Linked DNA regions of Saccharomyces cerevisiae S288C. The protein of the gene in region 1 purifies or fractionates together with the protein of each later gene. This does not show direct contact. Each region holds a gene or a part of one and is shown on either strand. Other genes may lie near its edges.

Region 1 (5,231 bases):
AAGAAGCAAAGAAAAGGAAAGTGGCAGAAAGAAAGCCATTGGATTTCTTGCGTACAGCCAAGTGAAGAAATATGAATAAGCACGAGCCCCGGCATGTAAGCCCATCGAATACGCAGACGTTACGCATTTTTTTTCATTTATCCTGTAAATAAGTAATGGATACATACATTTTGTATACGATTCAAACGGAAAGAAATTCCGCTAACGAAAAAGAAGTTATATAAAATTACATTACAATAATCAACTCCCTCATAATAAAGTTGATATTTCATTTAGATATGCAAAAACACATATGCATACATACATACATACGTATATGTAAAAGTTAGAATCAAGGAAAACTCGTGACATACAAATGCAAGCATAAATGAAAAAAAAAGATCGAGATTCAGTATTTCATCGAAACATCGAAATCTTCATAACTATTCTTATTAACGTGGTAATATTAAAGTCTTTTTTATTGATTTCTTCTTGGGTGATATTGGTTCTCCTTTTGGTGATTAATGACCTCCCCATGTACTGTTACCACCATAGTTTGACTTATTTCCTTGGTTGTTCCAAGCAGACCTATTTCCATCGTCTTGGTTACCCCATGCAGAAGCTCCGCCATCTCTTGTACTTTTATTATTGTTATTTCCTCCCCAGGTGGAAGCCCCGCCGTAGGCTGACCTATCACCGGTACCACCCCAAGTAGACATGGCACCATTAGATTCACCACCCGACGCCCAAGTGGATGCACCGCCCCAACTTGATTTGTTACCCCAGGCTGAAGCACCACCCCAAGTAGAAGTAGCACCAGTACCTTGGCCGCCCCAAGCTGAGGCACCGCCGCCAGCACCGCCCCAAGCGGATGCACCTCCATTACCTTGGCCACCCCAAGTGGAAGCACCACCCCATGAGGAGACACCGCCACCACCTGAGCCTCCATGCGCATTTACAGCTGGTGTTTTGCCACCATCGAAGGAGCTCCATCCTGGTGTCATACCACCGCTAAGACCAGAAGAGGTAGCCGCAGCACCTGCTGCAATACCGCCAGTGGCCATGTTTCTTGGGGCACTGACGTAACTTGGGCCCATTCTGGCCTGTGGAACTCTACCACGTCTATTAACCAATTCATCATACGTGATACCTTCACCTCCCTCACGGTTGTAATATGTTAACTTATGCTTGTCAATTGTAATGTGTTTGTTCTTCGAGTGTAATTCGACAGTAGCTTTATCACCATTCACATCTTTCACAATACCTAATTGACCCTTGTAACCAGCAGAACGAATTCTTACTGTTTTGCCGAGTGCAACTTCACGACCTCCTCTGGACTGGATGGGTTGTTGGAATGTCTTAGATGATGGAGGTCCCATTTTAGAAATGATTTCTGGATTCATTTTACTTAGATCCATTTTGTTACTTAACATATTGTCCTTGGATGCCACGGCCTCAACGTTACTAGGGTTAACAACAAAAACCCCTGCATTTTCAACAATCTTCTTTGAAACAACAAAAATTTGTTGTGTTTGTATGTACAGGACCTGACCTTCTCTGCGTGAACCTACTTTCTCTACTATGGTATCACCAATTTTGATTTCATTACCATTTGCATCGACACTAGAAACGCGTGCACGAGCAGTATTTATTTTACTCAAGATAGACCCCTTCGTAATTGTCGACACTTTACCAGTTTCATCAATAACCTTGAAGATATCGTGGCCAGCTTGAATAATACAAGCAACATTTTTAGCACTCAATTCGACTATGTCATGTAGCGCATATTCACTTGATGTAGCTGTAGTGTCGATGGATTTGGACAGATTATTTGCTGTAATGGTAACTTCTCTGCTTGTTTGAGTTGACATAAATGTCACTTGACCTTGCTCTACCATAAGAACTAAACCAGCATCACCTTGATGTTCACCATTGATGACAGTAACGTGATCACCAGGTTCGAAAATTTTCCTCAGAGTAGAGATAGGAAATTCTAGAGGCGTTGTAAAGCCATTTAGTTTGATAGTAGCAATATCTTTCGTGGTTCTTGTTACAATACCCTTGGAACCACGTTGTTCACCATTTAGAACTTCGATACGATCACCTGGCTGGAAAGTGACCTTTGCAGCTTGAGCCTTCTTGATTGATTGTGAAACTGATGTTAGATCTACCGCGCCCTCTTTGGAACCGAATCTTGCCAATTCCTCCACAGTTGGCTGAATATTTTTGGTTTCCACATGTTGAATTCTGAAGGACTTATACAGATAACCATCGATATAATCTTCATTCTTATAAGTAAAGTGGCGATCATCCCTTTTGTACAGGTTAGCTTGGTCTAATCTTAGAGCCATTGTTGGATTAAATAATTGCGGTGGTGCTCTATGAGCAAAAGTTGGTCTTCTGGATTTACGTTGCTGTGTTGTTGGATCAATTTCGTCGAATTTACCATAATCCAGACGAGGAACAATTTTCAGCATAACTTCTAAATTATTCTCACTAATTTGGTCGACCATAGCTAAGTCACCCTTATAGATCCCTCTCTTAATACGAACGTAGCTACCTTCTTCCAAAGCAACATCATCAGATTTGTTTGGTTTTAGTAATAGAGGTAATTCTTGGACAGGAATTAGCAATTTTTGAGAAATATAAATATCTGGAACACCATTACAAAATTTTTCAATAACGGATTGCTTAGGGGCTTCGATATAGATTCTTCCTGTGTAATTATCCCTTTGGAAAATGGATAAAATTTTCAGTTTTTTCTTACCCATCGCCCTATCCAAATTGAATTTTTTTTTTAATAACTTACGAATCAATTCCTTTTCTTTACCTGGTCTGCAGCGCACACCCCAAATGGTAGCTGTATCAACACTTGGTAGGAGAAACCTCTGGGGCACGTAACCATCTTGAGCAGCAGCACGGTATTGCTTGGAGCTGCTTCTACCGTAACGCTCCCTTAATTCTTTCGCTAACCTTTGAGCGTCTTCTTCTGAAGTCTTGTTCAAATCTTGGTCCAGTTGTCTATGTAATCTATCGTCTCTTCTTGCGCCTGGAGCACTTGCTTCGTCATCTTCATCATCACCATGGGTAATGAAACCTTCACGAACCAACTCTGAATCCTCTTCATCTTCATCTTCATCTTCATCATCACTAACCTCAGCTTCAATATCCAAGAATCTGTTCCTCTCCTGACGACGCCTTTTAGTTGGGGCTTCATCGTCATCGTCCTCATCATCATCATCGTCATCGTCGTCTTCATCATCGTCTTCATCTTTGTTATCGCCCTCATCTTTGGTATCACCATCACTGTTTTTGGTGTCCTCTTCGCGAGGTCTCTTCCTTTCATCAGAGCCCTCTTCCTTCTTGACAATTTCATTTGCTTCGGATGAATCCGTATTCAAAGTTGCTTGGGCATCATCTGTAGCAGGCCCGTTACTAGATGAAACCTGCTCTGTGGCCGCCGTTTCTGCATTATCCTCAGGTTGCTGTGGCTCAGATTTTGCTTCTTTTTCTTCCCCATCTAAAGGGGGAATATTGCTTGTACTTTCTGCACGTTCTGTACTTTCCGTTGTGGTCACATTGCCACTATCAACAGTATCTTTGTCACTAGTATTTTCATCTTTAGTGTCAGTTGACTGCGGAACCACTACGGGATCAGCAAATTGTTGATCATGGTCCTGCATGCTCACGTTTGTGTCCGAGTTGTCACTCATAATTATCACAACACCCGTTCCTCTTTCCTTCTGCTGTTACCTACTTGTATGAATGGTTCTTGTCAATGCTACCAATCTTTGAACATGTTCATCCAAATTTTTTTCTATGTCGCATATCAGGCGGGTCACCTTTAGAAGGAACAAGTATGAAATATACTATCATATATATATATAATAACAATTACGCATGCAGGTGTCAGCATTAAGAAGCCGCAAGGTCACCTAAATACCTTCCGAGTTTTTTTTCAATGAGCAAATCCACTAACGTTAGTTATGAAAGAGTAGAGCTATTCGAGAACCCGAAAGTACCTATCGAAGTTGAAGATGAAATTCTGGAAAAATATGCGGAATCCAGTCTGGACCATGATATGACCGTTAATGAACTACCAAGGTTCTTCAAGGATTTGCAACTAGAGCCCACAATTTGGAAACTGGTGAGAAATGAAGACGTCATTATAGAAGGAACTGACGTAATAGATTTCACGAAACTGGTACGATGCACATGCCAGTTACTGATACTGATGAATAATTTAACAGTAATAGATGATTTATGGTCGATGCTTATTAGAAACTGTGGCAGAGACGTGGATTTCCCGCAAGTGGCCTTAAGAGATCATGTATTAAGCGTAAAAGACCTTCAAAAAATCTCCAATCTCATCGGGGCTGACCAAAGTTCTGGGACCATTGAAATGATTAGTTGTGCTACTGATGGCAAGAGGCTTTTCATGACATACTTGGACTTTGGTTGCGTATTGGGAAAACTAGGTTACTTAAAGATGTGAAGCGAACAAATCCATATTCAAATATTTTTTCTCCTTTATTCGGTTCTGGAATCTATTCATATATATGTAGAAAATAGTCGAGTACATATGCAATTATAGGGTAAGCTGATACACAAATGCATGGTGTGGTCCTCTTCCTTTGCTTAAATGATATGTTTCGTTTTGAAGTAGTTCTTCAAATAGTTGACTTGCCAAACACCCAGCGAGGACAAGACAATAATAACCAAAATTGAGAAATTTCTTACCCTTCTGTTGGTAGATTCATTGGTGTCTCTTAATCTCTCCTCTCTGTTTTTCAAGTAAGTCAATTCGTCGACAATTTCGTCGGTAATTTCCTCCACTCTACGCAACTCCACTTCTATAGGTTTCAATTTTTCGTTGGCACTGATCTTGTTCCAGTCACGAGCTTCAGCACCACTCTCAATGTCCAATTCAATGGCCCTGCTTAAAGAACGGCCACGATACTGAGCCTGATTTTCAAAACAAACGTCGAATGCCGTGGAGGATGGAGCAGTAAACGCAACACGAACGTCGCCTGCAAAGTCCCTCTTTCTACGATACTCGTTTCCAACTGAATCACGCACGAAGAGGTTTAGTTTCTGTCCATCACCAACAGAACCATCTGAGTGAATATCCGCGACAACCAATTGACCTTCAGTGACAAAATCACGAATACAAACCTGTTCTGGATCTGTAGATGCTGCAATGTCGAAATGTAATCCCTGCACTGCCACCACCAAAGAGATCAAAGTTGTCA
Region 2 (3,661 bases), on another chromosome or scaffold:
AGTCCTAATCAAGGGCTCCAAACTGTCTCTGGGTGAGGCTTTCAAGAAAATTGATGCAATCACAGTCAAAGATGTTAAGGCTTGGGCCGGTAAGAGATTATGGGACCAAGATATTGCTATTGCTGGTACAGGCCAAATTGAAGGGTTATTAGATTACATGAGAATCAGAAGTGACATGTCCATGATGAGATGGTAAGATGTGTGATAATATATTTTCCATGCACATAAAATAGAAATAAGCAAGCTGCTAGATGTATACAGGCACGCTCGCACACTCACACCATAAATGAATTTTTTACATGTATTTTATATTCTAGTAACCCAAGTAGTCTTCATTATTTATTGGCAAGGTCACTGTTCCTTGCAAAAGTAGAAAATAAAAAAAGAAAAAAAAAGAAACTCGTAAGAAAACAAGATTAAATAAACGTCTTATTTTATATAAGTGTATATATATATATATATATATATGTGACCAAGATCCTGAAGAACTATCGATTTTAAAAATAAGAAAGATGAACTTTTTTTTGGTAAAACATATTTAATGATATTATGCAAATGGGAAGTTGTTGGTAGAGAAGTCATCTCTCGATCATCTGGACTTCTTGCCTAATGGACTGCTAATATTCTCACGGTAGGTAATACCAGCAATCGCAACCATCTTATCCTCTTGTGAAGAGCTCATCGATGGACTCACTAATTCGTCACCTGGTAACAGTCCTTCACTTCTACCCTCATGGTTTTCATGAGCATCCTCTTTCTCCTCCTCCTGGCTCGATGAGATCTCATTACTGCCGTCCATGGCATTGAGGAGCGAAGACGATGGCGACTCTATTATGGAGAACCTGCCCGTTGCGGTATGTTTATATTTCTTTGGCGTCGTGAGATCCATGTTTGTGAATGATGGTGATTCGTCATATTCAAAGTTATCTAAATCTGTGGGCTTCCTCTTCCTTGGAGTTTCATTTTTCTTGTCAAAATTTTGCACCTTGGTACTTTCGCCCGCCTGCCTATCTTCGTCATCATCTTCATCGTCATCTGTGCTGCCCATGTGATCATCATCCTCATCATCTTCATCTGCACCATCTTCACGATAATCGTCGTCGTTGTCATCGTCATCTTCATCATCGCTATTATTCTTCGTAACATCGCTCTGACAATTTTGTCCTTTATTATCGCTATTATCATCGTTTATCCCGCAATCATCCTCATAGTATTCTTCCACCATGAAATTTTCATCTTTCAGCAAAACATTACGCTTACTCTTATTCCCCATCTCCCTATCTTCATCACCATCAAAAAATCCTTCCTCTTCATCCTCGTCATCGTAGCCTAGGTTGACACTCATTATAGAGTCGATTTCTCTAATAAAGGGTGCCAACTCCCTAGTATTGTTTTCGGTCATCCACGGTATCTTCATTAGTGAGACATCTTCTTGATTCTTGATGAAGTTAATATCTTTCTCCTTATCGTCCTCTTGCTTCTCACCGTGTGTTTTATCAAAAACCTGCCAACTGCTAGTTACCATGCAACATTTTTCTAGCGCATTTACAAACTTCTCCAATTCATTGATCTTGTAATATTTGAAAGGATCATAACACAATTCGCATATCCGAAGTATTGTGAATGGAAATGTATGATTTTGTAAAAAATTATCATTCAGAAACTTACCCAGCCAATTTAATCTAGTAACGAGATTTCTCGCATCGTTCATTTCATTCTTAAGGTTTATAAATAGGTCAAACGGTATTGTTTCAGTGATATGCCGGATTAAATCAGGCAAAACTTGCTCGGGACCCGCCGTCACCAATCGCGTCTTGTCGCCCTGTTTCACCACATCGCTAAGTAATTCATAAAGGCTGATAGACTTGATACCCATCATATTATTATCCACATCATCCAACATCGTCGAGCTCATAGCTTTTTATTGTGCTTTGACAATCGATGAGAACACCAACAAAAAATGATAATAGGTATTGTTAGCTGTGTCAAAATACATGCTTTTGATCGCGAAATGAAAAACTACACAATCATTACCCGTCGGCGCTTCGGAGGGGGATTAGATTTCTCCTATAATCAAAATCTTCAACTATTACAAACCCCTTTTCAGAAGCACATTGAAAACAACACACAACAGAGCACTTTGTGATAGGCAATAGAGTGCTTTTAAATAGAGAATTACTGGTTCTCGCGAAATAATATAGCGCGTTGAAACTAATAAATAGATTCGTGAAGCTCTAGATCTATCTTTTTTCCTGTTTTTATCTGTGTGTTTTCAATAGGATTCGAACGATATAGGCCATGGCATCTATTACTTTTAGAACTCCATTATCCTCTCAGGAACAAGCCTTTTATAATCAGAAATTTCACCAATTGGATACGGAAGATCTCGGGGTGGTCACTGGCGAGGCAGTCAGACCGCTCTTCGCGTCTTCTGGTCTTCCAGGGCAATTACTATCGCAAGTGTGGGCTACCGTCGATATAGACAATAAAGGGTTTTTGAACTTGAACGAGTTTTCGGCTGCTTTGAGAATGATCGCTCAATTGCAAAATGCTCCCAACCAACCAATTTCCGCTGCCCTATATGAGAGCACACCTACTCAACTGGCTTCTTTTTCTATAAATCAGAACCCAGCCCCTATGCAAAGCGGTAGTGCAACCGGCAATACAAACAACACTGATATTCCTGCCTTATCCTCAAATGATATTGCTAAATTTTCACAACTGTTTGATAGGACAGCAAAGGGTGCTCAAACTGTTGCTGGTGATAAAGCCAAGGATATATTTTTAAAGGCAAGATTACCAAATCAAACTTTAGGTGAAATTTGGGCTCTTTGTGATAGAGACGCATCCGGTGTCTTAGACAAATCTGAGTTTATAATGGCCATGTATTTGATCCAACTATGTATGTCTCATCATCCTAGTATGAACACACCACCGGCCGTGTTGCCTACTCAGCTGTGGGATTCTATTCGTTTAGAACCTGTTGTTGTTAATCAACCAAACAGGACTACTCCTTTGAGTGCTAACTCCACTGGCGTATCTTCACTAACAAGACACTCTACTATATCACGTCTATCTACTGGTGCATTCAGTAATGCTGCTTCAGATTGGTCTTTAAGTTTTGAAAAAAAACAACAGTTTGATGCAATTTTTGATTCATTAGATAAGCAACATGCTGGTTCGCTAAGCTCTGCTGTGTTGGTTCCATTCTTCTTATCCTCTAGATTAAACCAAGAGACGTTAGCCACCATCTGGGACTTAGCTGACATCCACAACAATGCTGAATTCACCAAATTGGAATTTGCTATTGCCATGTTCTTAATTCAAAAAAAGAATGCTGGTGTCGAATTACCGGATGTTATCCCCAATGAATTATTACAGTCCCCCGCTTTAGGACTTTATCCGCCAAACCCACTTCCTCAACAACAAAGTGCACCTCAAATTGCCATCCCCTCAAGAGCAAGTAAGCCTTCTTTACAGGATATGCCACACCAAGTTTCTGCCCCAGCAGTTAATACTCAACCAACAGTTCCACAAGTTCTTCCTCAAAACTCAAATAACGGTTCTTTGAATGATTTACTGGCTTTGAACCCTTCATTCAGCTCTCCTTCTCCCACTAAAGCACAAACTGTGGTTCAAAACAACACAAATAATAGTTTTT
Region 3 (2,802 bases), on another chromosome or scaffold:
TAGAGGAGTATTTAGTGGCCAGCGAAGAGACCATTTTACGTAAAGAGGACAGTGCCTATGCATTTTTGACCGATTCAGGGCTAGTTGGTAAGCATTATCCCGTTGTTGAAGCAAACTCTGACTACAATTTGTGCCATTTTTGGTCGAATTTTGAGATTGGCGACTTGAATTTCTTCAGAAGTGACGAATATAAGCATTTTTTTGAAACTTTAGATGCCAAGGGCGGATTTTACTACGAAAGGTGGGGTGACGCACCTGTACATTCAATTGGTGTCTCCCTACTGCTGAGACCTGACGAAATCATTCATTTTGACGAACTTGGCTATTTTCACTCACCGTTTGGCACCTGTCCAGCATCTTACGCTGTTAGGCTCGATCAGAGGTGTAGATGCAAAAGCGATGATGAAAGTGTCATAGATATAACCCCACATAGTTGTTTGATGAGATGGTGGAAAAACGGTAGCGGCAAATATTTCTTAAAAGAAGAGCAAGACGAGATTTAAAATCCTGTCCTTTTTCCTGTTAAATAGGCCTAACTTCCACAGGGTGAAAATTCATTACTAGTTACACACACGTATACATACAGTTATTAATAGAGTGTTTCTAGGTTTGACAATTCCTTTAGTATCCTTTCCAACTCATCGTCTGATATTTTATTGTTTAAGCTTGGAATTAAAGTCTTTGCTTCATCAGCTGTGTCACAGGCCAAAGAACCTAGTTGCGCCACTTCAAAAGGATGTAACCCAGTGCTTTTCAGAAGCTGTATAACTGCCCCGACGGTTTCTTGGTCTCTAAATCGGGAGAAATTTGTTAAATACTGCATGGTATTTTTCAAATCTTTATTATTTCCTCCCGTTGTCTGTTCTAACAGAACGTCGATAGACTCCAACTCCTTCTCCCTAGTTTCAGAATGCATAAAATCATCATCATCAGCGTTGACGTCATCTTCATCCAGATCATCATCTTCATCCTCTACTGCCGTAGTTTCATCATTGGCGTTTTCGTGCTTCAAATGCTTCTTCTTGTGTTTTTTTTGCGATCTTTTAAATGCTCTCCTACGTTCTACAAGAGCTTCTTTGATTACTAACCTGGCTTCACTTAGGTTCAAGGCAATCAATTCCTCCTCTTCACCCTGATGATTTATCTGTTTCAGCTGGAATTCCTGGCCCAGTTGTAGAGTAGCTGCATTTTCTTCTTCCTCCACTTTCTTCAATCTTCTCCGTCTTGTTTGAAAGGTTGATGTAGAAACATTCATTTTTCTATATTCTTATATATATATTTTCAATACGGATGAATATTTGTGTACTTTCGCCCTCAAACTCAACTTATTAAGATGCAGCAACCCATTCAAGTCTCTTTCTTTACTTTTGTCTCACCGTTAAGCATGTACGTATGTGTGTAGGTATGTTTAATAGCTACCTTGCAAAAAGTTTGAAGAATGACAATATCACTATTGTCGCGTTGCACGTAAATGACACCTAAAAAGGATTTAGGATTTGGAGAAAAAAACTAAAAAAAATATAAAAGGCCTAATAAAAATATCAAAATAGCGCGATGGCTTTATTAACCCTAACCGCCCCTTCTGAACCATTGCAAGCAATGCCCCCTCCTCAGATTTACCCCTTCTGGGCTGAACAATGAATGAGTCGCAATGCTAAACAGATATAAGGAAACAATTGGTGGGCCATTACTGGGGGTATTACACAAATTTCTCACTATTAGATTTGGGAATATATCGAAAGAAGAATTTTGGTGAAGAGCAACAGCCATTGTGCAAGGGAACATAATTTCGTTATCTTTTTTTCACATGCTAATTTGAGCAATCATGAACTCATCCAATAATAACGACTCGTCCAGCTCCAATAGCAACATGAATAACTCCTTGAGCCCGACCCTTGTGACCCACAGTGATGCTAGTATGGGCTCGGGTAGAGCAAGCCCAGACAATAGCCATATGGGGAGAGGTATATGGAATCCATCGTACGTAAATCAAGGCTCTCAAAGGTCTCCACAGCAGCAGCATCAGAATCATCACCAGCAGCAGCAGCAGCAGCAACAACAACAACAACAGAATTCTCAATTTTGCTTTGTTAACCCTTGGAATGAGGAAAAAGTAACTAATTCTCAACAAAACCTGGTGTATCCCCCTCAATACGATGACTTAAACAGTAACGAAAGTCTAGATGCGTACAGACGACGTAAATCTAGTCTCGTTGTACCTCCAGCCAGGGCACCTGCCCCAAATCCTTTCCAGTACGATAGTTATCCCGCTTACACCAGCTCTAATACGAGTTTGGCAGGAAATAGCAGTGGCCAGTATCCTTCTGGCTATCAACAACAACAACAGCAAGTATACCAGCAGGGCGCTATCCATCCTTCCCAATTTGGATCCAGATTTGTTCCCTCCCTTTATGATCGTCAAGATTTCCAAAGAAGGCAGAGTCTGGCTGCAACTAATTATTCGTCCAATTTTTCTTCCCTAAATTCAAATACTAATCAAGGAACAAACTCCATACCAGTCATGTCACCTTACAGGAGGCTTAGCGCATATCCTCCTAGTACAAGTCCCCCACTACAACCCCCTTTCAAGCAGTTACGAAGAGATGAAGTACAAGGTCAGAAATTGTCCATTCCTCAGATGCAACTTTGCAACTCTAAAAACGATCTTCAACCTGTCTTAAATGCTACTCCAAAGTTTAGACGTGCGTCGCTCAATTCCAAGACGATATCTCCCCTAGTCAGTGTCACGAAAAGCCTGATTACCACATATTCTTTATGTTCTCCAGAATTTACCTACCAAAC

Evidence for each region. The genes of interacting proteins can lie anywhere in the genome.
Region 2: the proteins of SPT5 (region 1) and PSY4 purify together in Saccharomyces cerevisiae (affinity purification with mass spectrometry; 5 studies listed by BioGRID). This does not show direct contact.
Region 3: the proteins of SPT5 (region 1) and RPB4 purify together in Saccharomyces cerevisiae (affinity purification with mass spectrometry; 5 studies listed by BioGRID, with this or other methods). This does not show direct contact.

What each region holds. Positions count from the first base shown.
Region 1 is NC_001145.3:246,138-251,368, reverse strand, and holds SPT5 (transcription elongation factor SPT5), read right to left. Parts: upstream 3,693-5,231; coding exon 501-3,692; downstream 1-500. Other genes in the region: mitochondrial 54S ribosomal protein bL33m MRPL39, read left to right, coding at 1-65; RAD33 (Rad33p), read left to right, coding at 3,941-4,474; ERV25 (Erv25p), read right to left, coding at 4,618-5,231. UniProt on the Saccharomyces cerevisiae protein: The SPT4-SPT5 complex mediates both activation and inhibition of transcription elongation, and plays a role in pre-mRNA processing.
Region 2 is NC_001134.8:130,678-134,338, reverse strand, and holds PSY4 (Psy4p), read right to left. Parts: upstream 1,916-3,661; coding exon 590-1,915; downstream 1-589. Other genes in the region: ubiquinol--cytochrome-c reductase subunit COR1, read left to right, coding at 1-196; EDE1 (Ede1p), read left to right, coding at 2,299-3,661. UniProt on the Saccharomyces cerevisiae protein: Regulatory subunit of the histone H2A phosphatase complex, which dephosphorylates H2AS128ph (gamma-H2A) that has been displaced from sites of DNA lesions in the double-stranded DNA break repair process.
Region 3 is NC_001142.9:149,414-152,215, reverse strand, and holds RPB4 (DNA-directed RNA polymerase II subunit RPB4), read right to left. Parts: upstream 1,256-2,802; coding exon 590-1,255; downstream 1-589. Other genes in the region: mannosyltransferase YUR1, read left to right, coding at 1-503; serine/threonine protein kinase YAK1, read left to right, coding at 1,826-2,802. UniProt on the Saccharomyces cerevisiae protein: DNA-dependent RNA polymerase catalyzes the transcription of DNA into RNA using the four ribonucleoside triphosphates as substrates. Component of RNA polymerase II which synthesizes mRNA precursors and many functional non-coding RNAs.